Alligator mississippiensis: one gene and its partners. The protein of the gene in region 1 interacts with the protein of each later gene in a biochemical or structural test. Links are inferred from orthologs where the notes say so. Each region holds a gene or a part of one and is shown in the gene's direction. Other genes may lie near its edges. The genes, in order: MAPK14, DUSP10, MBP and MEF2A.

What was found.
Region 2: the proteins of MAPK14 (region 1) and DUSP10 form a complex in vitro, tested with the Homo sapiens proteins (2 studies listed by BioGRID, with this or other methods). The link is inferred for Alligator mississippiensis from reciprocal best matches to the Homo sapiens genes MAPK14 and DUSP10.
Region 3: of the proteins of MAPK14 (region 1) and MBP, one has a biochemical effect on the other in vitro, tested with the Homo sapiens proteins (4 studies listed by BioGRID). The link is inferred for Alligator mississippiensis from reciprocal best matches to the Homo sapiens genes MAPK14 and MBP.
Region 4: of the proteins of MAPK14 (region 1) and MEF2A, one has a biochemical effect on the other in vitro, tested with the Homo sapiens proteins (2 studies listed by BioGRID). The link is inferred for Alligator mississippiensis from reciprocal best matches to the Homo sapiens genes MAPK14 and MEF2A.

Annotation. Positions count from the first base shown.
Region 1 is NC_081837.1:36,165,007-36,172,230, reverse strand, and holds the start of MAPK14 (mitogen-activated protein kinase 14), read left to right. Parts: upstream 1-4,204; 5' UTR 4,205-4,420; coding exon 4,421-4,536; intron 4,537-7,224. Other genes in the region: SLC26A8 (testis anion transporter 1), read right to left, coding at 1,165-1,337. UniProt on the Homo sapiens protein: Serine/threonine kinase which acts as an essential component of the MAP kinase signal transduction pathway.
Region 2 is NC_081824.1:182,923,901-182,931,413, forward strand, and holds the start of DUSP10 (dual specificity protein phosphatase 10), read left to right. Parts: upstream 1-4,502; 5' UTR 4,503-4,615; intron 4,616-6,691; 5' UTR 6,692-6,735; coding exon 6,736-7,513. UniProt on the Homo sapiens protein: Protein phosphatase involved in the inactivation of MAP kinases. Has a specificity for the MAPK11/MAPK12/MAPK13/MAPK14 subfamily. It preferably dephosphorylates p38.
Region 3 is NC_081826.1:110,529,063-110,536,190, reverse strand, and holds the start of MBP (myelin basic protein), read left to right. Parts: upstream 1-4,108; 5' UTR 4,109-4,246; intron 4,247-7,128. UniProt on the Homo sapiens protein: The classic group of MBP isoforms (isoform 4-isoform 14) are with PLP the most abundant protein components of the myelin membrane in the CNS. They have a role in both its formation and stabilization.
Region 4 is NC_081834.1:7,960,523-7,968,082, reverse strand, and holds the start of MEF2A (myocyte-specific enhancer factor 2A), read left to right. Parts: upstream 1-4,548; 5' UTR 4,549-4,719; intron 4,720-5,096; exon of another isoform or gene 5,097-5,150; intron 5,151-7,560. UniProt on the Homo sapiens protein: Transcriptional activator which binds specifically to the MEF2 element, 5'-YTA[AT](4)TAR-3', found in numerous muscle-specific genes. Also involved in the activation of numerous growth factor- and stress-induced genes.

The DNA of each region.
Region 1 (7,224 bases):
GTACATCCAAATAAAGCCAGAAATTAAGTGGACATGAACATAACTCAGGGACAGCTCAAGCTAGGTGCCAGCAGCATCAAACCAAATTAAAAGGGAAACTGATAAAGTGGCTCCCAAACTTTAACTGGTTATGCTTTCCCTGATGGAAGAACAGGGGACATTCTCTGTTAAAAAACGCTGCTATCTGGTGCACGCTGTTGGGAACTCACCATAGACGGATGGTTTATAACAGGAGAGACACCCTAATCCCAAGAGCCAATGTTCCAAAGAGAATTTGTGAGGGTTCAACTTTCCCATTCTTTTCAAAGAATAAAGGGCGGGCAAATGGGTTAGAAAGAGGGTATCAAAGATACAGCCCACAGACCAAATCCAGGCCACAGAGCTGTGTCACCAAGTCCGTGTGGCTCCTGGAGAAGCCTTGTGATCTTCTCCAGGAGCCACAGATGTAGGGTAAGTGGAGGCAAGGCCCACCATAAAAATATCAGGGTATGGAGCTCTGTTGGGGATGTGTTTCAGTAAGGGCTGCATTAACCTCCCAGCTCCCTAATCTGATACAGCACTGCTCACCCCACCACTGCTTGCCCACTGCTCGCCTTGCCACTGGAGCTGGGTTCAAATCCGACCCAGAAGATTTCTTGCTGGCTGGTTCTAGCCCGAGAGGAGCCCTGCTGTCAGGATGTGGCCTGGGGGCCAAGCACGTCTGACAGTCACTCCTGGGTGAGAGCAATTTTTGTCAGTCCTGCAGGAAAGCCAGCCAGCCTCTCGGTCCTACGAAGAGGGAACCGAAAATGGTATCTGGAGAATTTAAGCAACCAAAATAGCAAAATCTACAAAGCGGAAAAGCAGACGTAACCTTGTATCTAGCAACTTGGGTGGCGGGAAGCCCTGAAACAATTGGCACGGTTCCTCCTCATCACGCACAAAACCTTGGGCTGATGACAAGTCTGAGACAGACGTTCATAATGGACAGAGACCGGCGTGGACTGTCGGCTGTAGCGCTGTGCTGAGCTTCGCCTCCCACTCCCCAGGCATGGAGCTCTGTAGCGACTATTTGATTTCAGCTGTTATTACAAACTTCTGGTTTTGCATTGACAAGTAGCAGCAGAAGGACAGCACCTGACAGAGCCCCTCAGCTTTTTCACAGATTTCCAGAAAACAACTCACCTGCATTGGACCTTCCTTCGTTGGACTTGAAAGATTTTGAAATCCCTGTTCTTGGGCAGGGGCTCGTGTCTTTCGTAGGTTCTCTCAAAGTGGTCTTCAGTGCGCAGACCCCGATTGATGTGGTAGCTCCTTGATTGCCTGTGCGGACCGAAGGGATGACTGTCTGGCTCCATCCGGTCTCGGACGTCCGAAGGCACGGGAACCCCGAATGCCGGCAAGCAAAATGAAAGCTCTCGTCTGCGATGCTAAAGAGAGGAAAGAGGGTCACGGACCTGAAATGACTCTTCAGATAGTTACACCGACTGAACCGACCGGGCGCCAGGGTCGGTAATCGACGCCCGGGGCCGCCCCACACAATCCGCAGAGTTAAATTAGGCTCTGGCAGCTGGAAATCCTCTATCTGCTAAGTGCAAGCAGCAACCCCGATGCGGCCTGCGGCACCGCCTGGTCACGTCGGGGCGGGATGCGATCCTGCTAGCCCTGCGTTGATCTCTAGGGCCTGCGAGAGCAGTGCCCCAGCCATGCCGCTGAGCCTCTCGCTCTCCTTCCCATCCCGTGAGCCCCTCCTTCCCATGGCTTTCTCCGCCTCCTTTTTTTCCTCCCTCTTTCCTCCAGGCCTCCCTCTGCCCCTCGCCCCTCAGCCGCTGGGGCCGTCCCAGGCAGGCTGCCCACCCTGCCCACGGCAGCGCAATGGCAGGCGCTGGCACGGCCGTCCCCTCAAAGCCGTGGCTCGGCCAACTGCCAGCCCGGGGGGAGGGGTGGAGGATCTTTCTGGAAGGCTCCCACCCCAGGAGGGCGCCGGGTCGGGTCCCCCTCTTGGAGGAAACTGCGGCTGATCCACCCCCGAGGGAGGGCGTCTGACTCCCCCCCCTTCCACTTCTGCCCCAGGTGGGACAAGAGCCGAGTCCCAGGTCTACCCGCTCTCCTCGACGGGCGTGCAACGCGAGGGACGGCTCCCAAGAGCCTGGAGAGGCATTGCCAAGGATCCTGCGCGGCAAACGGGAAGGTCGCGGCGCAGACGCCAGCTTCCTGGCTCCAGCCAGCGTTGCCAGCACGGCGTGAAAGCAACTTCGCCGGACTGGAAGTTGCGCACGGGTGTCCCACCCCCAAAACAAGCGCTCTGCTCCCAGCTTGAGCTCTCATGGCAGCCAGAGGAAATGTTTTGAGGACACGTTCAAGAACATGGAGGCCCACATCAAGAGCTGGGAGCTGGCTGCTAAGTGACCCCAAAGGTGCTGCAACCTCAACCAAGCGGCAGCCCGCTCGAGGTAAAGCGTCTGCCCGTCTAAGCAGAGAAGAGAGAGCGGAGACAGGAGAAGGAGAGGAGCCCCAACCTACAGCCGATTCCCCCTGAAGAAAGATCTGCAACATCGGCGGATGGGTCCCGTGGCTCCATGATTGGACTCTTAAGTCACCTGAAGACCCAGTGATGAGGCATGGTAGAGATCGGCCTCGAATCAAGGGATTGCTGCTGCTGACCATTTGAACTGCGCGGGGTAGTTAGACTTGGCTTGCGCGCACATTGCAAGTGGCAGGACAGGCGAGATCCAACCTCCTCCCTACTTATAACTTCTCAGGGGAGCAGACTTCAGTCCCACAAAGCCAAACTCTAACACCAGGGATGTGGCTTGGGTGGGATCACGATCAAATTGCGCTGGATGGGGCAAATACCACACAAATATCACTATTCCTGTCTCAGGGAGAAGCGGAGGCTTGACCTCACGCCTCAGGTGAAGTATAGCACGGTCCACGGTCCTAAATTCAAACCCCACTAAACACTGGTTATTTGTTGGTTGACCATTGCTCATCTCTTTACTTTCTTCTTCTTATTTTAATTCAGGCTCAACTTCAGCACTGCTTATTAGGACATGCTTTACTTGAAGTGCTGATTTAAAGCCAGTTGGTTTAATCTAATTACCTGAAACACATGCTTCAAGTTAAGTATATCCACATCTGCTTTGGCAGCATGCCTCGTGCAATGCGGACAAACACAGATATTCCACTTCCCTAAAATATTAATAGTGCAGAAGGTGCATGCAATGGGGGCCCAGGCCCAGGACACACTGGGAAATCCACCTGGGGGACAACTGTCATTGCAGGTCTTTCAGATGGACACTAGAGGCCAAATCGGCATTAAAAGGAAGGACATGGTCACACCAAACTGGGACTCGGGCTCTCCTAAATCTGCTTCTGTGCAAATGCGTCAGGTATCCAGTTGGTAGCTGTATTGGTCTAGAGGAAAAAGCAATCAGGGTCCGTGGACAGAAGTGATGTCTTTTATTAAGATTTTTTTTGCAAAGATCTTGTTGGTTTAATTGCAAGCTTTCAGGCACAAACACCCTTTATCAGGCATCAGAGAAACACCTTTCATACAGGCCTAAACCTGGATACCGGACGCATGGAATATGTTGAATTTTAGCTGATTTTTTAAATGAAATCTTCATATTTTCCCAAGCTGGAAGCAACTGCAACCGCCTGAAACGTGAGACCCTGCTCCTGCCTTTGTTTCAAGGTAATTCGCATCATCACAGATCCTCACAGGAGACCTGTCCTTAACAGCTATGAACCACTGCCCTGAGTTTTCCATCTATTGACCCCTCCATAAAATCCTGTGAAATACGAACTTTCATTTCTACCCGGGAGAACTTTTCCAATCTTTTCTCTGATGCCTGATGTGGGTTTGTGCCTGAAAGTTTGCAATGAAAGAACTTGCAATTAAAGTTTGCAATGAAAGTCTGCAATTAAAGATTTTTTTTTCCTTTTTTTGCAAAAAAAATCTTCTTGGTCCAATGAGAGATCGCTTCTGTCCCCTGGCCGTGACGGCTCCGTGCAAAAGCCTCAGCGAAGGTTATTCCCGCTCGGGGTTTCTTTAGCTGATTTTGCTCCTGCAACCACACGCGCCGCGGCGCCCCCCCCCCGCCCAGCTCTCGCGAGACCGCCCCCGCGCTGGTTCCATATTGGGTCATCCCCGTCCCCGCTGCCACAACTCTCGCGAGACCCACTGGAGTCTCGGCCGGGCTGTGCCACTGGCGGAGCGGGAGGGGGGCGGGGGGTGGGTGGTTACGTTGCTCCGCGGTTGCCGTCAGCGCCTGCAGCCGCCTCTACCTGCTCGAGGAGCCCCCTGCCCCCGCCTCCTGCGGCCCCCCCGCCCCGCGCGCGAGGGAGGAGCCCCCCCGCCGGCTCGGGAGGGGACGGGAGGGGGGGCCGCGCGCGGGACCCCCCCCGCCCGGCCCGGCCCGGCGCCGCCGCCGCCGCGATGTCTCAGGAGCGGCCCAAGTTCTACCGGCAGGAGCTGAACAAGACGGTGTGGGAGGTGCCCGAGCGCTACCAGAACCTGTCGCCGGTGGGCTCCGGCGCCTACGGCTCCGTGTGGTGAGTGCCCGCCAAGCTAAGCAGGGTCGGGCCCGGTGCGCGCTTGGATGGGGGACCGCGGTGGCCCAAAGGCCTCGGGCTGCGGGGACAAGGGGAGTTTGGTGCCTGAAGCATTGGGGCTGCAGAGGTCATTTAGATGCAGATCAGATCACGCCTATGCAAACTGTCCCGTGCGCTCTTCAATCCCGACAGCGTGTCCTGCTGCTGTGAAATGATGTCAGCGTGCATTTCAAACCCGGTGGTTTGAACAGCTGGGGTCAGGTAGCAGCAGAGCCTTTTAGGTGTAGAAATATTGGTAACACTGTAATGGGTTTCTCGGTGCCTGCAGTGCTCCAGCACCTGATGGGCCGGTGGGTGCAGCCAGGACGCACCTGTCACTGCATTCATGCAAAATACTCATGGTAGAAGTCAGGCTGGAGACCTCCAGAGGACTTGTCTAGTCTAACCCGCCCTGCCTGAGGCAGGGTTGTTCCTATCCAAAGCGTCCTGTGCGCCAAATCATCTTAAATACGCAACCCATGATCAGTTAATGCCAGAGCCATAGTCCCCAAATGCAAATAGAAATGATTTTCTTTTGCTGGGGTTACACGACCCCAGCAGTCTTTCCTGCCCAGATCAAGGGGCTGGACCTGATGATCGCATGATGTCCCTTCCAGCCCTAAACTTCTGTGAATCTTTACACGTTGTAGCTTTAAAAAAAAAAAAAAAAAAGCTGTCTGTTGGTTCTGTTTTTTTTGACAGCAACGTGTTCATTTGAATGATAAAACTGTCTGCAAGTTCCATTCAAATAACACCTATTTCCTAAAACTGCTGTGTCACAAGGAGATGAGTATTTGTCCCCTGCCGTGTATAAAGGAGTTAGTAGTTTGAATAACTGAATGTGCTCTTGGAACTGTTATCGTTGAAAAGCTGAGTTTAGTTGCAGCAGACCAGAGGCCTGACCTCCCTAGTTCATGAGTCCTCCTGAGGTGCTGAATGTGCTCAACCCTCTTGGATTATAATGGGGGGAAAATGAGCATGCTTCCTGACCGTCTGACTTTATTTTTAAGAACAACCCTTTCAAAATCCCTCCTCCTGTTCCAGATTGTGTTTTCCAGACTCTAAGTATTGCTTCCAAATGCTTCTTTCCACTGCTAACAACGTAAGGATTTGCATCATGAATTTCCTGTTTTGCAGTGTCAAAGCTTTCAAAGATTGTGCAACTGCCTTTCAGTAGCAGAAGAACCTATTTTTTATTGAAAGCAGTTTCAAACAGACTGGAGTCTAGTAGACATATCTACTGTGTCTTTCTGTATGTCTTATAGTAATTTTTTTCCTATAGAAAAGGGAGAAAATAGGTCTGTCCCCGCTGCTTTTTGCTGTACTTGGTTTGAATAGTGTAGTTTATCTTATAAAATTTGATGGCACTTTGCTACTAATCAAAGTTCATGTCTGTTTCTACAGACTTGCTCCTTCTTGGCTCATTTTCTTTTCCAATCTGTCATCACTACGAAGTATGTTGTATTTAAGATATAATTGGAACAGATTAAGGTTACAACAGCAAAGCCAGGAGATTCTCCTGCAGTGTTAAATTGAGGTAGTGAAATAAGCAGAATATACTAAGATATATCACTATAGGGGTATGTACCAGGGAGGATGTGAATGGGTGGGTGGGAGCTGGGGGTAGAGGGAGTTTAAACAGGAGGAATATTAAGTCTCATAGAGAGAAGACTTTTTCAAACATAAATAATTGCATCAGCAAATCATGAAGACCATATTTTCCAAAGTATAACATCATTTATTTAGGAGATGGTGCAGGTAGACATCTCAGTTGTTTTTAGGAGACAGCTTTAATTTAAGAAATGGAAATTAAGATGCAGAGATACGGGGTGGAGGCTCAAACTTTTAGGAACTGAGAAACTGATGTAGACAGAAATGTTTCTTACACTCAGCAAATAATCATTTGCTGTTGTATCTGTTGGATGGAATACATATTTCATTTGATCGTACAACAGTTTCAATATTCTTGACACAACCCTGTGGTTTAGTCTACACGAATTCATTCTGGGGTTGCTGAAGTACCTCTCTCATAAAGCCCTGACAGTTTGGAAGAGGGGATTTTGAATAACTTCCTGCAAGGTTGTAAAATGGAATTGATGCTGCTACAACACTAGTAATTTCCCTCCCATGTGGGGGAGAACTAATTGTAGATAGCATGGTTTCAATTAGTTCCAAGCTAAGAAAAGTGTGTTATAGATGTTTCAGCACTTTGAAACGGTCAGTACTCAAAACGGGTTTTGCACTAGATGGGCATAGTGTTGCACAGGCATTATGAATGCAAGGCTTTACAAGCAGTGTCTTTTTCTTGTAGTCGGCTTTTGCCCAAAGTTTTTGGGAACTTCACAGTCAAATATGTTTTAATTTGTTCTAGAATATGTCTAAAGCTTCATTCAGTTTCAGGAGGAATTTAAGCAGATGCACAAGAATCTTGTAACATGGCTCGTATATAGCATATATATCCAGATACACACAGTACAGTATTCACAGTAGTTTAGGGCTGGAAGGGACCTCATGAGATCATTGGGTCCAGCCCCCCTGCTCTGGGCAGGAAAGACTGCTGGGGTCAAGTAACCCCAGCAAGGTGTGCATCCAGTCTCCTCTTGAAGATCTCCAGGGTAGGTGCCTGCACCACACCTGCTGGGAGTCTGT
Region 2 (7,513 bases), on another chromosome or scaffold:
TAAAAATCTGTTGTAGTCAGTAGTTTATTGTGGAAGAAAAGAAATCATAAACATTGCAATCTAATGAGAAATAATTCAGAGCCAAGTTGAATATAGACGAGTATGCAGCAGCATCAATTGTTCACTGATGATCTTAAGCAAGAAAGGGGAAGGAAAATCAAATCTGAGTGGAGTCTGACATTTCCATGTCAAAAGGATCAAACAGTGCTTTATGGCAATTCTGGGAAAGCACCAGCATTCCCCTCCCTACTTCAAATATATCCTCTTGGATGGGACAGGAATTATTACTATAACTGTATCTCTGTAGTATATGCTTGTATATAATGGTTTTCATAAATAACCTATATCTTTTAAAGCATTCTGTCTCCAAACAGGGCTGCTGCATTTTCTGATGCAAAACAAAGATTTTTAGTCTATTCTCTCAATCGTTTGGTCTGAGCATTTGCCTAGAACACAGTGCCAGATGCAGTTGCTCTCAGTGGAAAGCTGACAGTTCAGGGGCAAAGATTTTTGGATGTCTGATATAAGCACCAGCTGTTTGTTCCCAGTGGCATGGGACTGCTGCTGTAAGAGCTGCAAACCAAAAGTAAAAATACAGGACTATGCTGGATGTATCCACTAACTTGAAGGCTCAGGAGAGAGCAGGGGTAGAGTGAAGTGGTGCTTGGATCTGGATCTTGCTTATGCCTAGGCTTGTCTTAAGCTTATAGATAGACAGAATCACGTGTTTAATTGCTCAGCATTGTCACCTGTTCTTGTGAAATTTTGGGGGCTCCAGATTGCTGAGAAGAGATTCTTTTTTTTCCTTTACTAAATGTTCTCAGGAAACATTTACCATCTTAAGTCACACCTGGAATGCAGCTGAAAAGCAGGCCCTTCAGAATCTACCCAGAACCAAAACCTATAGAATATTGGTTTGGATTCAGTGTTTCAAATTGACAATATCATTCCTGTCCTAATACCAGAAAAATCAAAGGGCTTCAGATGGAAGGTTCTACCTGGAAATCCTTCGGTACTTTTTATGATCAGTGAAGATATTTTAGGATCCATTGTTCGGTCACTTCATTGGATTGTCTGGGTGGCAACAAGACATCCAGTATTTCCAATGTGAAATGATGCACTGTGGGATATTATTGCTCATACTAACTGCAAGCTAGAAAATACAAGATTTCATGCATGGGAAGGGGGAGAATTTTAAGAACTCTTATCACTGCTAAATGCCCTCCCATAGCCTGATCAGTAGGATCCTTGCAGCTCAGATATTGACATTAATTTTGCTGTGTGGTACACATGGAAAAAGGAAGAGAAACCAGTATTTTTATATCATCTTGTGAGTCTGAATATATTACCATGAAGTCTAACTCTCTTTCATCCTTTTCTCTCCTCTGATAATTTATCTCTGAAACTTTTTCCTGCAGCTTACTTTGTCCTCCTTTTACCTAGGATATTCTAATTTAGGCCAGAAGAACCCAAAGCCCAACTGAGCACACACCGGCAACATGCCAGAAGCCTGAGGGATGATTCTAATTTCCATAACATGGAGCAGGTTGCAGCTGTCCTCCTCTTTAATATGGAAGTACAGCATGCAGAAACTTACAGACCTAGCATGCCCTGTGCTGTATTTGGACCTTGTGCTGTGCTCTGTATGATTTATAGCTTCCTTTCACGGGAGTTATTGCTTTTCCACTTGACATTGCTTGTACTAGAGCTTGATTATTTTTTTTGAACAGGATTATTAGGTAACGTATCTAAAAAGAGACATTCCATGTGTTAGTTAGTATATGTACCACACAAGGCTTTTTGGTGTTGGTTGGCTTGTTTGCTGAATATTGATTCACCTTGCTCCTGGAGCCTCAGTGGGTGACTCTCTCTTTAGGGCAGCATTGACCCAGTGCCCTAGCATTTAGGAGCTATGAGCTTTTGGATATGTTGTCTGTTGCATATGATACACAATTAGGTTCCTGACTTACTGGGAGACCATAAACAGTGCTTTACCACTTTTTGCAAGAGGCAGTGGTCTGATTTTTCCAGATCATCAATATGCACCCCTGCAGTAGCAATTTGCCATGGGTATTTTTCTCCCAGTTATTGACACTAATCCTAGCACTTGCAAAACTTATGTGCTTAAGTATAATTTGGACATAGAGATGTTTTGAATACACCACCCTAGATGTGAAAAGCCTGCATATGCCACATGTATTAGAACTACTATCTACAGCACGTGTACAGTTTATAAGCATCTACAATGCTTGTTGACTGGGGTGCTTCATTCCCCCCTCCCCGCCTTTCCCTCTTCCCCTGCAGTCAGCTCCAATACTGGTAGCAGTGGCTGTGACTTAATCTTGAAATAATTTGGACATTCTTACCACCCTAGTCACTAAACTAACTCAAAATAGAGGGAGAGGATACAACGGTCAAACAGCCTAACCCTTGTTTCCACTGGCAATGGCACTAGTGATTGGATTAGTGAAGGCTTATTTCTTCCTGAACAGGTTCTTTCAGAACAAATGCTTTTGACGCGATGATGGTGGGACTGAAGCTATCACTAGGCTACAGCAACCACCACTGAATACACCTGACTTTGAGGGGTGACCCTTGCACAGCTGCTCCTTCAAATGTGCCTTCTCTGCACCCCAGTGGTTGGCAGCAATGCAATTTTCTAGTGCTGATACCAATTTTCTAGTGCTGACTGTTGGAAGCATTTTTGAGATACTGAAATGCACTGAAAGCATTGCTTTTTTCTTTCAGCACTCTGCTGTAGCTTGTTTCAACAGTTTCAGGCAAACTCCAATCCAGGTAACTACATCCTACTGACTTTGGTGTCTCCCACACATCTTCAATTACATGCCGTGTCCTTTGCTTCCTATCTTACCATCCTTGTTTAACCCTGTTACACTTCTATCGTGCTCTGTTCTGGCCTGTGGCTGTCTTCCAGTGGTGGGTGAGGTGACTCCTGGAGCTGTGCAGTACTTATAAATCTGTAAAGCGGGGCTGGGTCTTTCTGAATCAAAAAACAAAACAACAACAAAAAAACCCCCAAAAAAACACAAACCAAAAAAACCCCCCATCCCACAATGAATGTGAAAGTTGTTCCTCTCTTCTGAATCAAACTATCACTGCCATGTGACTAGCGAGACCAATGAAAGGGGAAGTGAAATCCTAGCCTTTTAAAATAATTGACAAGCCTGCTTTCCAGCTAGGAGGCTGTTCAGCACCAACAGTGATTCGGGTCTCCAAAGGGGTCTGACTGAGTTTTATTAAATATTAGATCATCTCTCAACTTATGGCTTGATCTCTTCCCATAACTTATTACTGGGCATTAGGACAGCCTGCAACAACTGCAGCTGGGATCCCATTGCCTCTGTCCCTATTAGCCTTGGAACAATAATACCCGGGGGGGGGGGGGGGGGGGTGGGGGGAGAGAAAAAAAAAAGACAGGATCCTGGCCAGGCCCCAAGCTCATTGTACTCCCTCCCTGCTGGGGGTGGAGGCAGGCTACTGCCTGCCCTTGTAAATCCTAAGGAAAACTGCTGGGGGGAAGGGAGGGTTATGCTGGGCTTTAGCACCAGGACTATGTGCCTCCTGTGGTGCTGGGGGTGGAAGCCGGAGGGGCACGGCAGGGGTGCTCAGCACGGGCCTGGATGTGCGGGTTAAACAAGGGGTTGTGCCCCGGGCTCAGGCTGCGGAAGACTACAGCTCCCTTGCAAGGTGGAGGCTGGGCTGTGTCCGGCTGTGAAGAGGGCCCGGGGGAAGGGTTAAAGCCTCCTTCAGGACACAAGGACCCTGGTGGCAGCAGGGAGGGGGCAGCAGAAGGTGTCCAGCAGGTGACAGGGGTCTGTGCACTGTGCCTCAGGGCTGCCCCAGGGACTCCTGCCTCTCTCCCGCCTCCTCCGAGCAGGGCGAGCCCGGGTCCCTGCAGCCTCGGAGCCGGCGCTGGACATTCCCCGCAGCCGCCTGGGCCGGAGGGAGCGGGACTCACCGCGGCAGCTCCGAGGGCTGGCTCCGAGGGGGCCCTCGCTTCCCGCCCGGCTTCTTGCCCAGCTCCGGAGCTGGACTCCTGCTTCGCTGGGGGAGAGAGAGAGAGACTAGCTCGGAGAAGGGGGCAGAGGAAGGATAGAGTGAGGATGTAGAGGCAGAGCGGAGAAGCAGCCTGCGGGGGGAGGGGGGGCCGCGAACGTCTGCGCTGGGCCCGGGCAGGGGCAGAACCGAGCGCACCGGGCCCCGCGCACATGTAAATAGAGAGCAGCTGCTCCTCTCTGGCTCCGGCTGGCTCTTGATAGCGTTTGATTGGCTGCCAATGACATCACCCTCTCCCCCGGCCCCCCCGCGCTGGAACACTAGAGGCCAGAGAGCCGCGGCTGCGAACGCCCCCAAGCCCGGCCGGCCCCGCCCCTCCCCGCCCCGCCCGCTACCAGTGTCGGGCCCCCATTGGACGCGGGCGCCGCTCGTCCGCCCCCGCCCCGCCCCTTTCGAACCTTACATTTACACTGTAGCAAAAGAGAAAGTAACTATGTTGCAGCTGTAGATCAATGGAGCCGAGGGCAGGGGTGGGCTCAGCGCGCAGTCACTAGCTACCGCCGGCGCCGGATGCTGCAGGGACAGGCGGATTTCTGAAGTAAGTGCAAGGAGCCTTTCATTAGCCTCACGGGGGAGGGCAACTGGGATCTGCGTGTGTGTAGACACACATATGTACACATGTGTGTATGTATACACACATATCCATGTGTCTTTATGTGTATATATGTGTGTGTACGTACATGTATGCACACACGTGTGTGTATGCAGGTATGCGGTGTGTGTATATGCAGACGTGTGACGTGTGTGTATGTATGCTCGTATATGTGTGTAACGTGTGTGTGTATGTTTACACGTGTGTGTGTTGAGGGGGTGTGCACACGTACGTGCAGGACTTGTGTGCCGTGCTAGGAAAGGACATCGATCCCCGCCTCTGCCAAGCTCCGTGCTGGAGGACAGAAGGAGCCGAGAGCGGCGGGGGCTTTGGACTGTCTCTTCCGACTGACCCCGGGTGTCGCCTGTCGGTGCTGGGGCGAGGGGAGTGCTGCAGTGTGTGTCAGGCGGCGGGGACCAAAGTACGCGGAGAGCTCTGCCTGTGTGTGCTGCCTACTTCCCCGGGCGTCGCTGCTTGCTTCACCCCCCCCCCCACCTTCCCCTCCCCGCCGCCTTCCTGTGTGCCAGGTCCCGGGTGGGCGGGGAGGGGTACTTGGCCTGGCCGCGGGGTGCCCTGCTGTGCCTTGACGGCGTGGCCGGGTGTCTAGGACCCTCCGCTGCAGAGGCGCAGGCAGGGCTGCCCGACCTGGGGCTGGAGCAGAGCACACTGCGCTGCGGGAGCGGGGCTGTCTCGCCGCGTTCATGCATGTTTGGAAATAAAACTAAGTTGGCGGTTGTTTTTAATTCGGTAGCTTGGCGGGGGGCTTTTTACATGTGTTATGTATGCATGTGCAGGGCTTTGTTATACAAGGCGGGGGGTGGGGAGCCCCACTGAAGAGGGGGCGAGGGGAGAGCCGTGAAGTGCTGGAGGTCCTGGGGGCGGGGGTCGTTCCGTCCAGGTAACTCCGGGCGATCGCCGCCCCCGCCGGGGGAGTGCTGACTTATGGATGGGGGTGACGGTGATACCTCCCCCCCAAGCACACAGGCGCGCGCACACTTCACACAGGCACACACCACAGGCGTGCGTATACACTTCACACAGGCACACACAGAGAAACACATTTCACACAGGCATGCACCATATACACACCACAGCCCCCCCCCCCCCAATTGGCACATGCATCCCCCCCCCACACACACACAATCTTCCAAGGCAGCCTGTGAAATGATTTTTGCTTGAAGGGAAGAGGGGTTCCTGGCCTCCCTGCTGCCTCATGAACCTGAAGCAAGGGGCCAGGACTCCATGGAGCTGGGCAGTGCAATGCTGGGAGGGAAGGACCGCTGTGCCAAGTGCCCGCCCCCTTGAATGCATGCAGTTCACTTGTGGGTCACAGGCACTGGGAGCAGGGGCTTCAGCTGCCCCACAAGTGCAGGTCGGTTGGGGGGGGGGGTGTTAACAGTAGATGAGAGGTTAAAGGTATAGAGATGCTGTGTGTGGAGCCTGGTATCTGGAGTCTGCCTCCAGGGGTTTCTCAAGGCATGCAGGCACCTTGGAGGATCTGTCCAGGGGAGCAGAGGGGTGCAAGGCGCAGGCTGCCTCCAGGACCGCGACCTACAGCATCCTCTGCTTCTCCTGGCTGCCTGGGCTCAGAGGGGATTGTGCAAAGCCTGCTTGTATTTTGGCTGTGTGGAAAGTTGCACATCCTCCACTGCCAGCCTGAGCTGCGGTGCCTTCCTCTGTGAGTCCTGGAGTCACTTCACTCAGCCTTATCACTCAGCTGCCTGTTCCTTGTGGCCCCCAGGAACAGCTCAGCTCGGTGTGCACACAAAGGGCCTGCTCCCTCCTGGGGTGCAGCCAGGCTGGCTAAGCCTGTGGCTGCTCTGCATCGCCTTTGCATCCAGGCAAAGAGCTGAGATTTTTGCTGCAGGATTAGTATAGGGTTCCCTTTGGGAGCCCCACTGAGCTGATAACTCTTGCCAGGGCTGATCACTATCAGAACTAGCTGCTCGAAATCGCTGGGCCCTGTATGTGTCATGTGATCTTTTTTTTTTCTTTCTCTCTCTTTCCTTTCTCCCCTTGCAGATACATCTTGAGTTCTTCTTGACTTGCCAGTTTTCAGCCTCCTCATGCCTCCATCTCCATTAGACGACAGGGTAGTGGTGGCACTTTCAAGGCCAGTAAGACCTCAGGATCTCAACCTTTGTTTAGACTCTAGCTACCTTGAATCTGCTGCCTCTGCCAGTGAGAGCCACGCAAGTCTTCTCAGCACAGCTGTCGTGTCCCTAAAGGCGGCTAATCTCACGTATATGCCCTCATCCAACGGCTCTGCTCGCTCCCTGAGTTGTGGATGCAGCAGCGCCAGTTGCTGCACTGTGGCAACGTACGATAAGGACAATCAGGCCCAAACTCAAGCAAGCACCAGCAGCACCACCAACGTAGGAACCTCTGCTCCTTGCCCTGCTAACCAAATGGTCAACAATAACGAGAACATTGGCACTTTGAGTCCGTCAGGCGGTGTGGGGAGCCCAGCCTCAGGCACAACCAAGCAACTAGCTAGCATAAAAATAATCTATCCTAATGACTTGGCTAAAAAGATGACCAAATGCACCAAGAGCCACCAACAGAACCAAGGGCCTGTCATCATTGACTGCAGGCCATTCATGGAGTACAATAAAAGTCACATCCAAGGAGCCGTTCATATTAACTGTTCTGACAAGATCAGCAGAAGAAGGCTCCAACAAGGCAAGATCACTGTCTTGGACTTGATCTCCTGTCGGGAAGGCAAGGACTCCTTCAAGAGGATCTTTTCCAAAGAAATCATAGTTTATGATGAGAATACCAATGAGCCAAGCCGAGTAATGCCTTCCCAGCCGCTCCACATTGTCCTGGAGTCGCTCAAGCGTG
Region 3 (7,128 bases), on another chromosome or scaffold:
CATAGCTGTAGACCCTTCCTGGGGTCCACCAATCACTTGACAGAGCCCAAGCAGGGTGGCGCTGCACAGCCTGAAGCCCCTCCCCCCCCCACGCCCCTCATATTTCCTACCATTGCCTGAATAGTCTCAGATAGAGCTCCGCCACTCTTCATGCAGGAACAGAAATTCCCTTACCTTAACCCTATATCTTCCTCCTGCTGTCTGCTTACTCCCCTGGAAGGTGGTAGAGAATTTGCGCGGGGGGGGATTAGGGCATCCCTGTTACCACTGCAAGAGCAGGGGCTCTGGTAGTTGTACTATTGGGGTGGCAGAGGTGAAGACAGCAGTTCTTTACTGCCCCTACCATCCCTGTAAGGGAGGGGGTGCGGGGAGGGGGTGTCTGGAAATGCTGATCATGCACTGCTCACCACCTTTCTAAGCACAGAAGTGGACAGGCTGTTAACAGTTGGGCTACCCAGGGGGCAGGGAGAGCAAAACAGGGGTTTATCAACCCCTTGCTGGAGAGCTGGCCTTCATAGCTCTCCAGCCAGTGGCTTGGAACACCTGTGCATTTTTGCAGTGCTACAAAGTGCCAAGCCATTTTGTAGCACTACAACTGAACAATGGTCAATATCTTTATACATAACCATGTGAATCAGAAGCATTGCCATTGTAAGTCAGTAAAATTATCACAGGGCAAAGCTTACACGAAATCAAATTTGGCCTATGTGGTTTTCTTTGTAAGTGCAGCTTTATGTCCTTGATTTTGCATTGACAGACATTCACTGAGTGATAGTCATCAAGTCTTTCCCTCCTCCTGGCCCCTCAATTACTTTAAGATGAGAGACTATTCTTTGGTCTATAATCAGTAGCATCTCTGTGAATTTTAATTAAATCATTCTTTGAGTTTTTATGATATGTAATTAGTCATGATGAGACACATATCTGAGTTATTATTTGCCAAATAAATCTTATCACTATGGTCCTGCTGAAGAACCAGGTCAACTCTTTCTTAGTATTGTTATTACACTTTCAATTTTAGTACATTTTAGTACTTTATTTGCAAATGCCACTCTCTTTCCATTCCAATCTCTCCTTTCTTGGATTTGCACAATGGAACACTTTGTACTGGGTTGGAGTGTCTTTACTATACAGTTAATTAAGGATACTAAGCTTAGGGAACAAATAGTATTTGAAAGGCTTAATGCTATTTTTGATACTATTTTACATACAACGAGAGGAAATAAATGAGGAAATGAATCTTGCTTTGCAGACCGACCAGACACAGAACAGAGATGGCTGCTGAACACGGGTGCATTCTTTTTAGATGGAGACCTTGGAGGATTGGCAATATTGTTAGTTAAAATAATTATGTATTATAATAAGTTAAATATGATTCTGATAATATAATGGTTATTATATATTATTGTGTGATAAGACTGTAAGAGGCCTTATTACAATATGTGGACTCAGTCCTGCAAACACTCAGCTGAGATGCTTTCCTCAGGGGACTAAATCTGGGATGCTAAGGGAACTACCTATTTAGTCATTCAAGAATGAGGTCCTAAACATTTTTTTTAAATCAGTCATAAAAAAATGAAAAACACTGAAAGAAGGAGAAAGGTATCTAGGCTATAAAGTGCAAGAGAGGTACATAAGAGTGTTGTTACTGAATATGGCATGGTTTTACAACTCAGAGTGATGATAATCACCTTCAGCAAAATAAATCTCTCTTACCTGAAAGCTGGTTTATAGCATCATTCTGACTTCTCATTCCTAGGCATGTGGAACTCACTTTACATGTTTTTCCTTCTGAGGCCCTGATACAGCAAATATGCATGTTCTTCTACAACTTATCCTACAAATGACCTCACCGAGTTCAGTGAGTTTACTCAAGCACAAAATTGCACAGAAGCATGAATATTTGCAGAATTGGGACCAGATTTTATTTCCTGTGGGTTGTTTTTGAATATTGTGATTTCTGAGGCAGCAGGTTGCTGATATTTGGATCCAGTTTTGCTTAAGCCCACTTACACAACTTTTTTGTTTGTTTGTTAAAGAATCTAGAAACCTATGGAGAGTGGAGATGAGCATCCAAAATGAACATTCAATGCACTGTTACTTTTTAAAGTTGATAAACAAAGTTTGTTTGTTTTACAAAGTATAAAGTAGTAAAGAGGAAAGGATTGTTGTGGGTGATATCTTTTATTGGACCGATTGTATCTGCTTTTTCTGTGTCTGCTTTTTCCTCAGCACCCTGAGGAAGGGCACTTGGTACCCAAAACCTGTTTATATCCCTCCCAACTATATCCCTAGTTTGTCCAATAAAGATATCACCCACAAAAAACTTTACTTCTCATATTTGTCCTGGACACATGGCTACAATATCACCCTACCATAAAAAGGTAAACGCATACATAAGTTTTTGCAAGATTGTGGCCTGCCAAACCCCTTATCAACATTTTTTTATACACTCATAATATTGGAACAGGAGTCTAGTGTTGGGTTTTTTTTCCCTTTAGTCAAAGTAGTATTCTTTGGGTGCATCTACACATGCAATTAATGTGACCAATAAAACTCTGGAGCACTTCAAGCCAGAGTGAACTGCTCCTGGGCGCAGTGTCTACACATGCTCCCAGGACAGCAGCAATTTGAGCTGGGGCAAAGCAGGCCCCTGGCTGGCTGGGCTGACCCTGACAAGGGGCAATTTATACCCGCTGTCACTGTTTACATGCATTTCAGCACAGTAAAGTACACTGCCACTGTATAGTACTGTCAGGGATAGTATTATCCTACAGCAGAGTTAATTAGTTTACTGTGCCAATACTGGCACACATGTAGACTGTGGTGCTTTAGTGTGGAACTAAGTAGTCAACTCTTCAGTAAAGCACGTGTGTGGATGCACCATGCGTGATCTAAATATAAAATGCCCAGGATTTTAAACTATTAATGCTTATGACACTTCCCATTTTTTAATTCCTCCCCTACTTCCTCACAGCTCTATTGTCTGGTTCTCTGTTTTATCTTCATATTTGGTTGTAGTCTGATTAATTTTTAGCATACTCTAGGTTCCTTTTACTTGTAGTAATAAAAGGCAAAATTGTGACTCCCTTTACTCCTATTATTCACTCACAATGAGTAGTCTTGGCTTCGGTGAAAATGCGCAAGCACATATCTCATCACTGAGAGGACGGGGTTCAGTCCAATTCAGAAAGCTTTATAAAACTCCTTCTCCCCTCCCTAAACATGTGCACCTGTGTGTGTGTGCGTGCGCGCGCATGTGTATATCATAGAAGTCATGTAATTGGTAAAGGAGAATGAGTTGACCTAGTTCTTCAGCAGGACCACAGTGATAAGATGTATTTTCACAGAAGCATTAGTACTTGTTCTGTTAAACAAGATTGATAGTGATCTGTGCATGTGCGCCACTAAAAACGATGGACCTGGTGGGCTGGTCAGCTGCCCTAAGCCTCCATCTGATAAGGATAAAACCAAGAGGAAAAAAGACACCCAAAGCAGGGGAAAAAAAACCCCCAAAAAACAACCCCCCCCCAAAAAAACCACAGCCAAAGGAGTGTCACCTTGCTTTTTTTTCACAGCTGCAATTCAGAAAGAACCTCATTTGCTGCATACAGCAGAAACACATGCGAGGCGGACAGACAGGACTGCCAACCTAGAGCATGTGAAAAGGAAGTAAGGGGGGGGGTTGGCATTTAACCATTCCCAATTCAGATTTCCAAATTCTTCTCCGCCCGCACAAAGGCTGGAAGTGTAATGGGACCCTCCTGTCAGGTCTGTTCCCACGCGGGGGCAAGAAGCAGGTGCCGGGGGAACAAAACAACTCGGTGCCCGCCTGGCAAGGCATTTGCAGACTGCAAAGCAGTGAGGGGGGGCTCACCTGTTTGCGGGAGAGGTGGGAAGTCCCCTGTGGGGAGGGGAGGGGCTGCAATCCCTCAGCTATAGCAACCCCAACTCTGCCGGAGCCGGGGGGGCTCCAGCTGTGCCCCCAATCCCGCCGCCCGCGCGCGGCTGCCGCTTCCTGGTTGGGAGCGGGCGGCGGCCCCACCCTCCCGTGACACCCGCCCACGGCCGCGGGCGGACGCGCTGCAGCCGCGGGAGCAGGAAGCCGCGGCCCGGGCGCTGCTGCTGCTGCTGCCGCTGCTACCTGGGCAGCGGCGGCGCCGGGAGCCCCCTGCGCGTAGCCCGGGCGTGGCGGGACCGCGCCGCTGGATGCTGCAGGAGCCCCGAGCGAGCCCCGGCGGCCGCGGTACGGTGCGGTCTGTCTGTCTGTCAGTCTGTCCCGCCGTCGAGGCGGCCCCCCCGCCACGGCGTGTGCAAGCGTGTGTGCGTGCGTGTGTGCCAGCGCGGCCCCGGCCCCGGCCCCGGCCCCGCGCCAGCCCCCCAGGAGGCAGGTGCCGGCCCCGCGGCGGGCGAAGGACGCGGCCTTCCGGGTTCCCCGCGCTCCGCCCGCACCTGGCCGGGGCAGCGGCGCTCGGGGGCCGGGGGCGGGGTCGCTGCCAGGACTTGTCGTGGCTCTTGTCGGTGTCGCTGTTGTTCCTTGTTCAGGGCAGTTGTTGTGACAGATGCCCTGTCGTGTTTCCATCCTGGTTTCCATCGGAGTGACCAGGATGGTCACGACGCCCAGGCACTTACTGCAGAAGGTCCTCGGAATTAGGGCACGGTTGGTTCCCGAAAGCTGCGTCTTAAATGGAAACGTCGTAAGTCGGGACCGATTTTCCCGTAGGAACAATGTTATACGTTGGTGACGTGTAAGGGTGGGGCACGCAGGTGCATGTGCACCCCCTGAGCATGGCAGTGCACCCTCTGCAAAAAGTGCCGCGGATGCTGCCAGCGGCACTTGCAGGCTGTCGCTGCTCACCACCCTCCCCCCTTGCTGCCAACACCACCGGGGCATCTGCAGGCGGTTCCCGATTGCTGCTGGCTGCTGCCAAGGCTGCCAGTGGCATCTGCAGGTGCTCCTTCCTGCCACTGACATTGTTGCCACTGCCAGCAGGCAGTCGCCAGGCACCCCCAGCCTCCGGGGCATGCAGCGTTCATGGGGGGATTGGTTCCTGAACCAAGGCCTGATACCCTATTTTCACCAAAAGTAACGCAGAATTTTGTACTCTATCAATTATAGATGAGTAATATAGCTACATTAATGTATTTATATGGTACATAGCAATCATATTGATTTGGAAGGACTTCTTTGAGGTGACTTTGCCAGACTTTTTGAAGGGTTTTTGGCTGGAGTCTTCTCACAAGTCTTGACTGCAGGTTTTTCTGGAGTCTTGTCTGCTTTCTTAAAGAAAGTGCTCAAGGAAGTTTGGACAGATGTTCTCCAGGGAGATAAGCAATGCAGCAAACGCTCGCTGGTGTGGTGTGGCATCGGATGAAGCGTCGTAAAGTCGAAACTAACATCAGAAAGTCAAAACAGGGTGTCAATTTATAAACGTCCTAAGTGCCATTCATTGCAACTCGAAACTTCTTAAGCAGAGGACTGCCTGTATAGTGCTAGGACGTGGGTGTTTTAAAGAGTGATCTCTTGTGTTCAGCTATTGATGGAGCAGCAGTAGCACCTGCGTGCAGATGTAGCTACTAGCGTAGAAAAGGAAGGTGGGAAGGACCCTCAGGAGGGTGACTAGTCCACTGGTGCTCTACCTCTTTTGTACCAAGATCCAGTTGTAAACATCCATAGCCAATCCCAACCCAGTGCCCTTCATTCCCAACCTGCCGTTCCCCCGCCCCCAGTCCCCGTGCATGGGGCATAGGGGGCACAAGCAGCCCTTTGCAGGCTGGAACTCTGTCAGCCTGCAAGGGAAAAGCCCCAGTTTCCCATGTTTTTCTCCTTTAAAGGAAAATCCGTTTTTAAAGTTTGTTCGGGAACCGTTCATATATTCTTGCAACCCACTTTTAGGTCACAACCCATGGGTTGAGAAACTCTGATCTAGACCTACCCGCTGCTCCAGGCGGGACCAGCCCCAGCTAAGATCAGTACACGTCTGTATACACACATGTATGTATGCACATCTACATGCACAGTTCCATTATCTGTTTCTCTTGTTTTATCTTTATATTTGGTGTAGTTGTAGCCTGATTAAATTTTAGTGGACTCTAGGTTCCTCTTACTTGTAGTAATAAAGGGCAAAATTGTGACCCCCTTTACAAATATACACATGTTCACATGTCTAGACATGCATGTATACACACATGTATGTATCTGTGCATGCATGCACATGTATATGCGCACACACACACACACACACACACACACACACACACACACACACACACACAGAGGTGGGTCTAGAGCAGTAGTTTTCAACCTGTGGTCCATGGAGCCCTGTGGGGGGGGGGGTGGCAGACTATGTTTAGGGAGTCCACAAAAGATGTCTGTAATCAACCAAAAGGATGTACATGTTCACACTTATCATTCAGAGGGGTCTGCATCTCCATTCAAAATTTGTTAAGAGTTCACAAATGGAAAAAAAAAGGCTGAAAACCACTGCTTTAGAATTTTGAAAAGGGGGGTGCCCCCAGTGAGTGCATCATCACGCATAAAACGAGACACATTTTTCTCCAGTTAAACAGAAACTAGAAGCTTTATTGATCCACCAGGGGCCTAAGGCTGTATGATGCTGTTTAAGCTTGAAACAAAAACCAACAGAACTTAATTGGAATGAATTAAATACTATCTGCAGCTCTGTAGAGTAGAAACTTCATGACCAAGAGCAGCAAACAGACAGCACAATGGCAGAACAAAGGCTAGCTTGATTGGTGGAACATCAGGGCCATTAAAAAAGAAGGGAGGGTTCTTAACACCTGTGGAATGAAGAGTTTAGAAGGGATCAGGTACATTACAATGAGCCAGGAAGTCAAGTGACTGTTAGGACTGCCTGACTAGAAATGCTGCTGCCATTGTCAGACAGGCAGGTGGTTTTAAAGTTTGGGTGCAGCAGGAATCAAAGCGGGGTGCAAGTGCACCAGCGCAACCCATCTTTCCCTCCCCATCCACCCCTGCATATATATGTGATACACACCCACACGCCGCCATGATTCTCAACCAGGATGCGGTGGCACAGTGTAGTGCCTTGAGACCCTTTTAAAGGGTGCCTCTGGCAATATTAGGTGTGCAAACATGATTCACAA
Region 4 (7,560 bases), on another chromosome or scaffold:
CAGACATGCCTACTGAGTAACAATGGCATGGAGTCATTCTCCATCCCGCCCTTACTTCCTTTTTTTGTAAGTTTGAGTTCTCTTCCTCACTTTGTAATGTCAAGTAATAAAGCAGTATTTCCCAGCGGGAAATACTGTGGGTAGAGTTTTTCTTTCAGCAAACATACCCTTTGTAAAAGTCCTTATTTATTATCTCTACCAATTTAGGTGAAGTTACACCAAGAATAAATTTGGCCTCTGCATTGAAGAAACCTTGTTTCATAGGTTGCGTTTATCCTCCTGTGTATCTTTCAGAACATTTTAAATTACATTTCCCCCCTGCATTGTGACAAACGCCCAAAGCCATGCACCCTTTCATTCCTCACAGTTTTGCAGTTCCTAGGTTTTGTTTTGTTTTTTAAACAAGTGACATGAGGCACGTTAATGAAGAGCTAGAAACGGAGAGGTGTTGTATGGGAATACAATACGAAGGAACTAAAATGCCACGATGTTCTAGAGATGACATAAGAGGCTGCCACAGTCATGCTTGCTTTTAGATGTGGGTCAAGGCTTAATTGGGGTTGGTGAGGATAGCTTATTTATAGGCACCCCAAACTCCTGAAAACCTCTAATGGAGTAGACCCAGGTGGACAACATTAATGGAAATTCAGCCAAAAGACTGTATCTACTTAAAATGAGGCCTGAAATTGTGTTTTTCTGTCCATGGTTTTCCTGTATGGTGTTGCTAGTTCTTTGTTCATATTTGTACATGTAGTGCAGAAATCACAATGGTCTTCAGAGTCAATGGGAGGGGTGTTTCAGCAGTTCTTCTTGGTCCATCTGTGATCTTTGATGCCACTGTCTGTCAGTTTTGGTAATCTGTGAGAGAAGCCTGGAGTGTGGTGGATGGAACTGCATTTAGTGATTCTCTCTCTCTTGACCAAAGAGTGATTGTAAGTGCTAATTCGATAATTACTCACTAGACATACAGGCACACTTTGTGATATCCTGTGAGCTTTAGTCCATTGCTCTTTCTGTGGAAAAGGTGACAGACTCTGGGGTGCTGTACAATTAGATCCAGTGGCTAAAGTTTCTCTAGTTTCCTGGTTAATGCTGAACATAAAGAAAAGGAGCAGTTCAGATTTGGTGGAGGGTAGACAACAAGGTAGTAATGTTAGGCCGGGGGTGCATGAAGAAGTGCTGGCTGGTTGATTTACCCACCATTACAAAAGAATGTGCATTTCAGATTCAGTTTCTATCTACTACTGGTTTCTTATGCGGATGCAGTAGCCAGAAGTTTTTTGTTACTATTTGCATCTGTCTAAGCAGGTTGATGTGGGTAGTGCCTTGATTATCTATGCCTTCCTCTCCTTCACTTTGGATTACTCCACTGCATTCTGCTCGGGGCTACCTTTTGAAGCCTTTCTGGAAATTAAAGTAAGCATAAAACAAGGCTTACAGCTCGCTCAGAGGTTTTAGTTTCTTTCATTTCCGTGCCTGTTGTCTCAGTATACAGCCTAAAAAAGGTTAATGGAATAAGAAATCCTCGCAGTATATCCCGAGACATCGCAAAGTGCATCTGGATGGTTATTCCAGGATTGTATCATTGATTCAATAGCCGAAAAAAGCAGTGAATTGAACTGCTCACTAAACCCTGATTAGAAGGGTGAGTACGTTCCAATCCCAGCATATTTCTGTTCTGGGATAAACATAAGCACAACTAGTCCAGGGACAAGTGCAATGTCTGTCTTTAGCCTAAAGGTCAGGGTTGTGGCAGTAGCTGTAGAAGTAAATCTTTAGGTACAGAAAAAAACATCTGTAGTTTCTGTTGGAAACTATATTTTTCATTTTTTTCCTAAATTGTTCTTTTGCGTTATGTTTTTGACACAGATGTGAGCATGTTTCAGTAGTAAACGAGAACTCCTTCTCTATATCCCTTACTTGTGATTTTCAGCTCTTGACAGGGCATATAAAGATACTTGGATAACAAATGTTGTATCTGTACCCCTAATACTGTTAGAAAGAACCAATTAGTCTTGGATTCTTTTCTATCTTTTTCACTTTGACTATGATTTCTTTTCAATGCTGAATCATATTAACGGATACATTCAGAAGCCCTTACTAAGTTATTCAAGCATACCCATTGACTACAAATCAAGGCCTGAATAAGGAATGCAAGATTTGGCCCACTGACTCTTACCATGTTCTCTTTTAAAAGGATTTCAAGGTATTAATTGCAAGTTTTTTTTTCATAAATAGTAAATACATTTTATATCTGAATTAACATTAATTACATTTGACTTTGTTACTCGTCAAGATGAACATGTTGAGAAAGATACATGACTTCCTTGCCTAAGTGTTTTCCTGATGATTATGTAAAAGTCTTCAAATATGACACTTGTATGTATTTGGCAGTTTCCTTATGTTCCCTACACAACATCCTACCATTCTCTTGATTAAACTGGAAGTAATGTTATATACCTGTTCGTTTAGCTTGCCCTCCACAATCCATGTTCCATTTTATTGGTGGTTGAGGTTACTTGACACAGTTTCACATTAATTAAATGTTCGGTAATGCTTCTGTTATAAATCCTAATCCAGGACTTTCTCCCTCTGAGCTAAAGCACACCTAATAAGACAGTTGCTATTTACAATTTTTGGGTGGGAAAGGGGGAAATTGCCGAGGTAGGTCTTGCTTTTGTTCTCCAGTGCTGCCCTGAACATACTTCCCTCATTTGCTTCTTTCCTTTTTCCTACTCTGATTAGTTATAGTTATTTAGTTAACGATAGTTAGTAATCGAAATATCCTCTCATTTTCAGTTACAAAAGAAGCACCCCTTCCCAATAGCTAATTTTTGTGACATGGCCATGATCCGGGGCTTGCTACCTTGCAATGAAGCTTCATAGGGGTGATCATTTTTGCTTCAAATCTCTTTCTTGGTAAGTAACTTCTTATCCTTTAAAAATCCTTTTAGTGTCCCTCTCTTAGCATTTTCCCTTGACAAAGATATCAAAGACAGAAAACTGATGTCATTATTTGTAAGGAACCTTTTTTTTTTGGAGAGAAAATAAATGCCAAAACATCCTTTGGTGAGGAATGGTGCATGGAAGTGAACAGCGAGGGAGGGGTCCTAGCGAAGCATTACTTACCCAAGCCAGCAAGAGGAGCGGGAGTTTACATTAACCCAGGTCTTGAGTTGTGATAAGCAAGCGACTGCTGCAAATGCTGGGTGCATTAGTTCCCTCTTTTACTGTCTTGCAGCAAAAAGGAACATTGATTATTCCCCCGCTTTTTTTCTTTTCTGTATTTGTGGCTGTGGAAAGCAGAAGTGAGTTCGTATAGCCAAGAAGGCCACGACCATTTGTATGTGGTAACTGCACAGGCCCTTGTGCACGTGGACCCTCCTTCCAGCCACCACCAACTATGAAACATGTCCTGTTATCCTCCAGCATCAGACCCAGGGAGAGGCCTTCCGCTAGTCCTAGTTAAGCAAATTTTCCTTTAGCTCAAGGGCATGCCCTTGGAGTTGAGCAGCCAGGCTCTTTCTCTAACTTCTTAGAGCCAGGCTTGGGGGGAGGGCACCATAATGAAGGGGAAACTCCTGCTGGTCCAGCTACATGTCAGCGGGGTGAAGTCCGACACAGGCCTGCACCAGCCAGGCAGCAAGAGCTCCTTAGCCAGGCCCTCCTTGTTAACCAGCCCAATTTGGCTGTTGCTGGCAATTCATTTTGCATTTTTTCCTCTTTTGCGTCCTTGCAATAAGGTCTTTAGCAGAGACTCTGACACAGCCGCACCGCACCTAAGCTCCCAGCAAATTTTTAGTATGGCCACAGACGAAAATAATACTAATTTTAACCATTTTCGGGCTGGTTTGCCCATGCCTGTGCTGGGACTTGGTACTATGGCTTCAAACGTGCAACCTTTGGGCTGTTAACCATGCACCGTGCATAGCGCTAACTGTGCATAGCGCTCACACCTTTCCATTTATTTTGCCTGGGAGCAGGTCTAAATAATACGCTTGCTCTAGGGCAGGGAGAGACAATGGGGAGATGCCAGGCTGCAGCCTCCTCCAGGGGCAAGGGCAGGGGCTGGGCTCTACCAGGCGGGAGGCACCAAGAGCGCATGCGCGAATTCCCGCCTGGTCTCCGAACCCGAGCGCTTACGTCAGCCACTGCGCGCATACGCCGTGGGAGGGAGGCGCGGAGCAGGCCTTTGGGAGAACGTAGTTCCTATTGGTCGAGGCTTTCCACCCCCTTTCTCTGATTGGCCATCCCTCGCTGTCACTCCCCGCCCATCACTTGTTTCCTAAGTGGCTGGCGCTTTCGCTTTATCCCACCCCCTCTTTCGCGGATTGGCTGCTCCCTGCCTTCACTCCCCCTCGCCGCCCTATCACGTCGCGCAGCTTTCGCATGAAGAATGTAGACCCGGCCGCTCCCTGGTACCAAACAAAATAGTGCGGGGAGGTGTGGGGCGCTGTGAATACTTATTCCCGCTCCGGCCGCTTTTAGCCGAGCGCGGAGGACCTCCTTCCGCCCTTTCCCATCCTCTGCCGCCTCGCGGAAGCGGCCTGCGCGTCCCCGAGACGGGCGGAAGGAGACACCAAGTATCCTTCCGCCGACTGTGTGTGACAGAGGAAGTAGTTCCGGCCCCGCCTGGACCCTGTTTCCCCAAAATAGGTCCCGGCGGGGATCCGTGCGCGGGCGGCAGTGTCTCCCCGGGAGTCTGGGAGCAGCCGCGCGGTGAGTGTGGGGTGTCACGGGGGGAGGGGCGAGCCCCCGCGGGGGGCCTCATCCTGCGGGGTGCTGGGGCCTGCCTGCAACTTCCTGCGCGCGCATGGAGGCGTCTGGAGCAGGCCAGTGTGGGGAGGGGGCTGGGGGGGTGGGTTTCTTTTGTGAGGGGTGGGGGCACCAACTTTTCTCCACCCAAAAAAAGGGGGGGGGTGCCTTTTTCATCCCCCGCCGTGCAGATGAGCCCGCGGGATGCCGCGTGAGGGTCATATTTCGGGGGGCGGGGGGGCGGGTAGGAGTTGTCGCCTAGTTTTCGCACCCGCTGCACGGTAACGTTTGCGAACGTGTGTGTCACCTAGAGGATCTTTTTTACCCCCCCCTGCATACAGGAGAGGTGTCCAGATTCGCCGGCCGTGCCCGGGAGCGGAGAGAAAGAGAGAGAGGTCAGCAAGGAGCCGTATTTTGGGGAGCTCCCCTCGAGCGGCTGAAAACCCCCCGTCCCGGCGTGGTTTTGACCTGCCGTGGAGAGGCGAGAAGGGCAGGGCTGGCCGCCCCGCAGGGGTTGGGCGTGCGCTCGTTTTTGTCTCGGAAAGGTGCGAGTCGCGGCACGGAAACGGGAGTTTCCCGCAGCAAACGAAGGCTCCCAGGGAGCAAAACGGTTCGTCCCGCCGCCGCCGAGCGGGGACCGACTGGGACATGTCACAAATCCCTGCCAGAAAAGGGAGATAAGGAAGAAAGCATGTCGAGAAGTAGATAGGGGTAACGGAGCAGGATAAGCCTTGAGCAGCCTGAGAGATTATTATAAACAAAGATCTGCTCTGGCACAGGAACGGGTATTGTGTACGGCTGTTATCTTTACGCTTTTTTTCTTTTTGGGTGTTTTGCTAAGCTTCTAGTACTGGCAGAAAGTGAGTCGTTGGCTTCCTGCTCTCCTTGGTTGGTGGGTATTGCACAGGAGCGCTTTCACCGCGTCGAGTCCAGCTGTGGTGCTGGGCATCTGAGCGAGCCTGTTGTTTTGCTATCGATGGCATTTTGGCAGGTGTTTAAGCAACGTGTAAAGGAGACAGAGCAATGGTCCTAACACCGATGTGCTATTTCTTTTTATGCAGCTTCATTTTAAAATGGGATCTGCAGGGTTGGGAATGCTTATTTTTATAGGTCAGATTGGTTCTCTTGCCTGCCACTGTACCAGCCTTTTAAAAAAAGAGTTATTTTGGGGGTCTGGGAGAGAGGAGTGACTTTGGTTGTTTTTTTTCAGCATGTAAATTGTAGAACATATCTAAACCTAGCATAAATTTTACACTTTTTTTTTTTTTAAACTAATACTTTTGAGACACAATATAAATTGAACAATAATACAGGCCAGTGGGGGGTTTGTGTGTGTTTTATGTGTATATGTATATATTTGTAATCTGGGGTTTCAGAATGATTTTAGACACATCATTGGTATAACTAAAATAGCAGTGTATTTAAAAATTGTTGAATCCTAAGCAGGGAACCAGAAAGGCATAAGAAGTGTGTTATGTTTGGCTCAGAACATTAGTTATTAGAAAGGGAATTAAGAGGAAAAAGAGCACCTTGGCCAAAGGGATTGAGGGAAATTAATTACGGAGAAAGTAAAAAGAAGAAAACATGCAATTAGTTAAGTAAAGATGAAGGTTTGATAAAGGGACATCAGTCTTCTGCTACTTGCAGAGTGGCGTTACCAGCTAAGTAGAAAGATCTTTTAGTGTAAAGTGATGGGTTCAATTGGGAGCAATGAGGGAAAATTTAAGATTAGACCACAATTGTGCATTTTCAGGGAGAAACAGTGTTAGTGCTCCCCAACCTTCATGGTGCCATGGGCAATGATATTAAGCAAATAATGTGCTGTGCACAACATAAATCTTTGCTCTTCCTGTCAACTTTCATGTTAACTCTTTGATTTCCTGTGCATATGAGCAGTCTTGTAGGTTTTCACAGGCTATGCAGAAATCATGGGCTAGGAACCAGGGTAGTAGGTCTTTTGGGCCATTTCCAACTTGTTGTTCCACTTAAGATAGGGGAGTAATTGGCTGTATCATTGCAATACAAGCAATTTGGTTCATATTAGAACTGTGCTTTTGCTTGTCTCTCTGCCTGCTTTAAGCATGTACCTAAATCACTATGATTCCTCACGCGCTCTTTTTATAAAGTGAGATTTAATGATTTAAAGCGTTCAGGATTGCTGGATATAAGGTGCTGTAGAATAATGGGATTACTCAAGTGTATGAGGAAGAAGGGTGAAATAATGAAAGATGTTTGTGATGCTAATGAACATTCTAGGTGAGGTGGCTTAAGAGAGGAGCTTATTATGCAAGTTCATTAAGTTATTGACCTTATTATACATTTTTAAATTTTTTGGGAAAGTATTTTTGTCTTTATTATTAAGACAAGCTGGTTTGTTGCAGCAGGATTCTTAACTTATTTAACAACTTTCTTTCAACTGTGATACTGCATTAGTTTCAAATGTGGTTTATCTTAAAACTCCAGTGTGGACAGCAGACCTCTTCTGGGTTAGTCCAGAACCAGGTTATTCAAGATTCCCATGTAGCCCTACAATAAATAAAATAAAGTTTAGTAAGCTGAGTGCTGTTTCCAAATAGTAATGCCATGCAAGTCAGTGTAAATGATGTCAGGAGTTATGTTTGCTGCCCTGCCTTGTCCAGTCATGCCATGTATTACAAAACACAGCTGGAGAATGCTGCAACAGTTATGAAAATAGTTTAGGATAGTACTGTTTAGGCTTCATAACTGTTTAAATTAAGCTTATTTGGAAAACAATTTAGCTTTTTGTTAGTAAAGATAGGGTATGAGTGTTATGTGAAATACCTG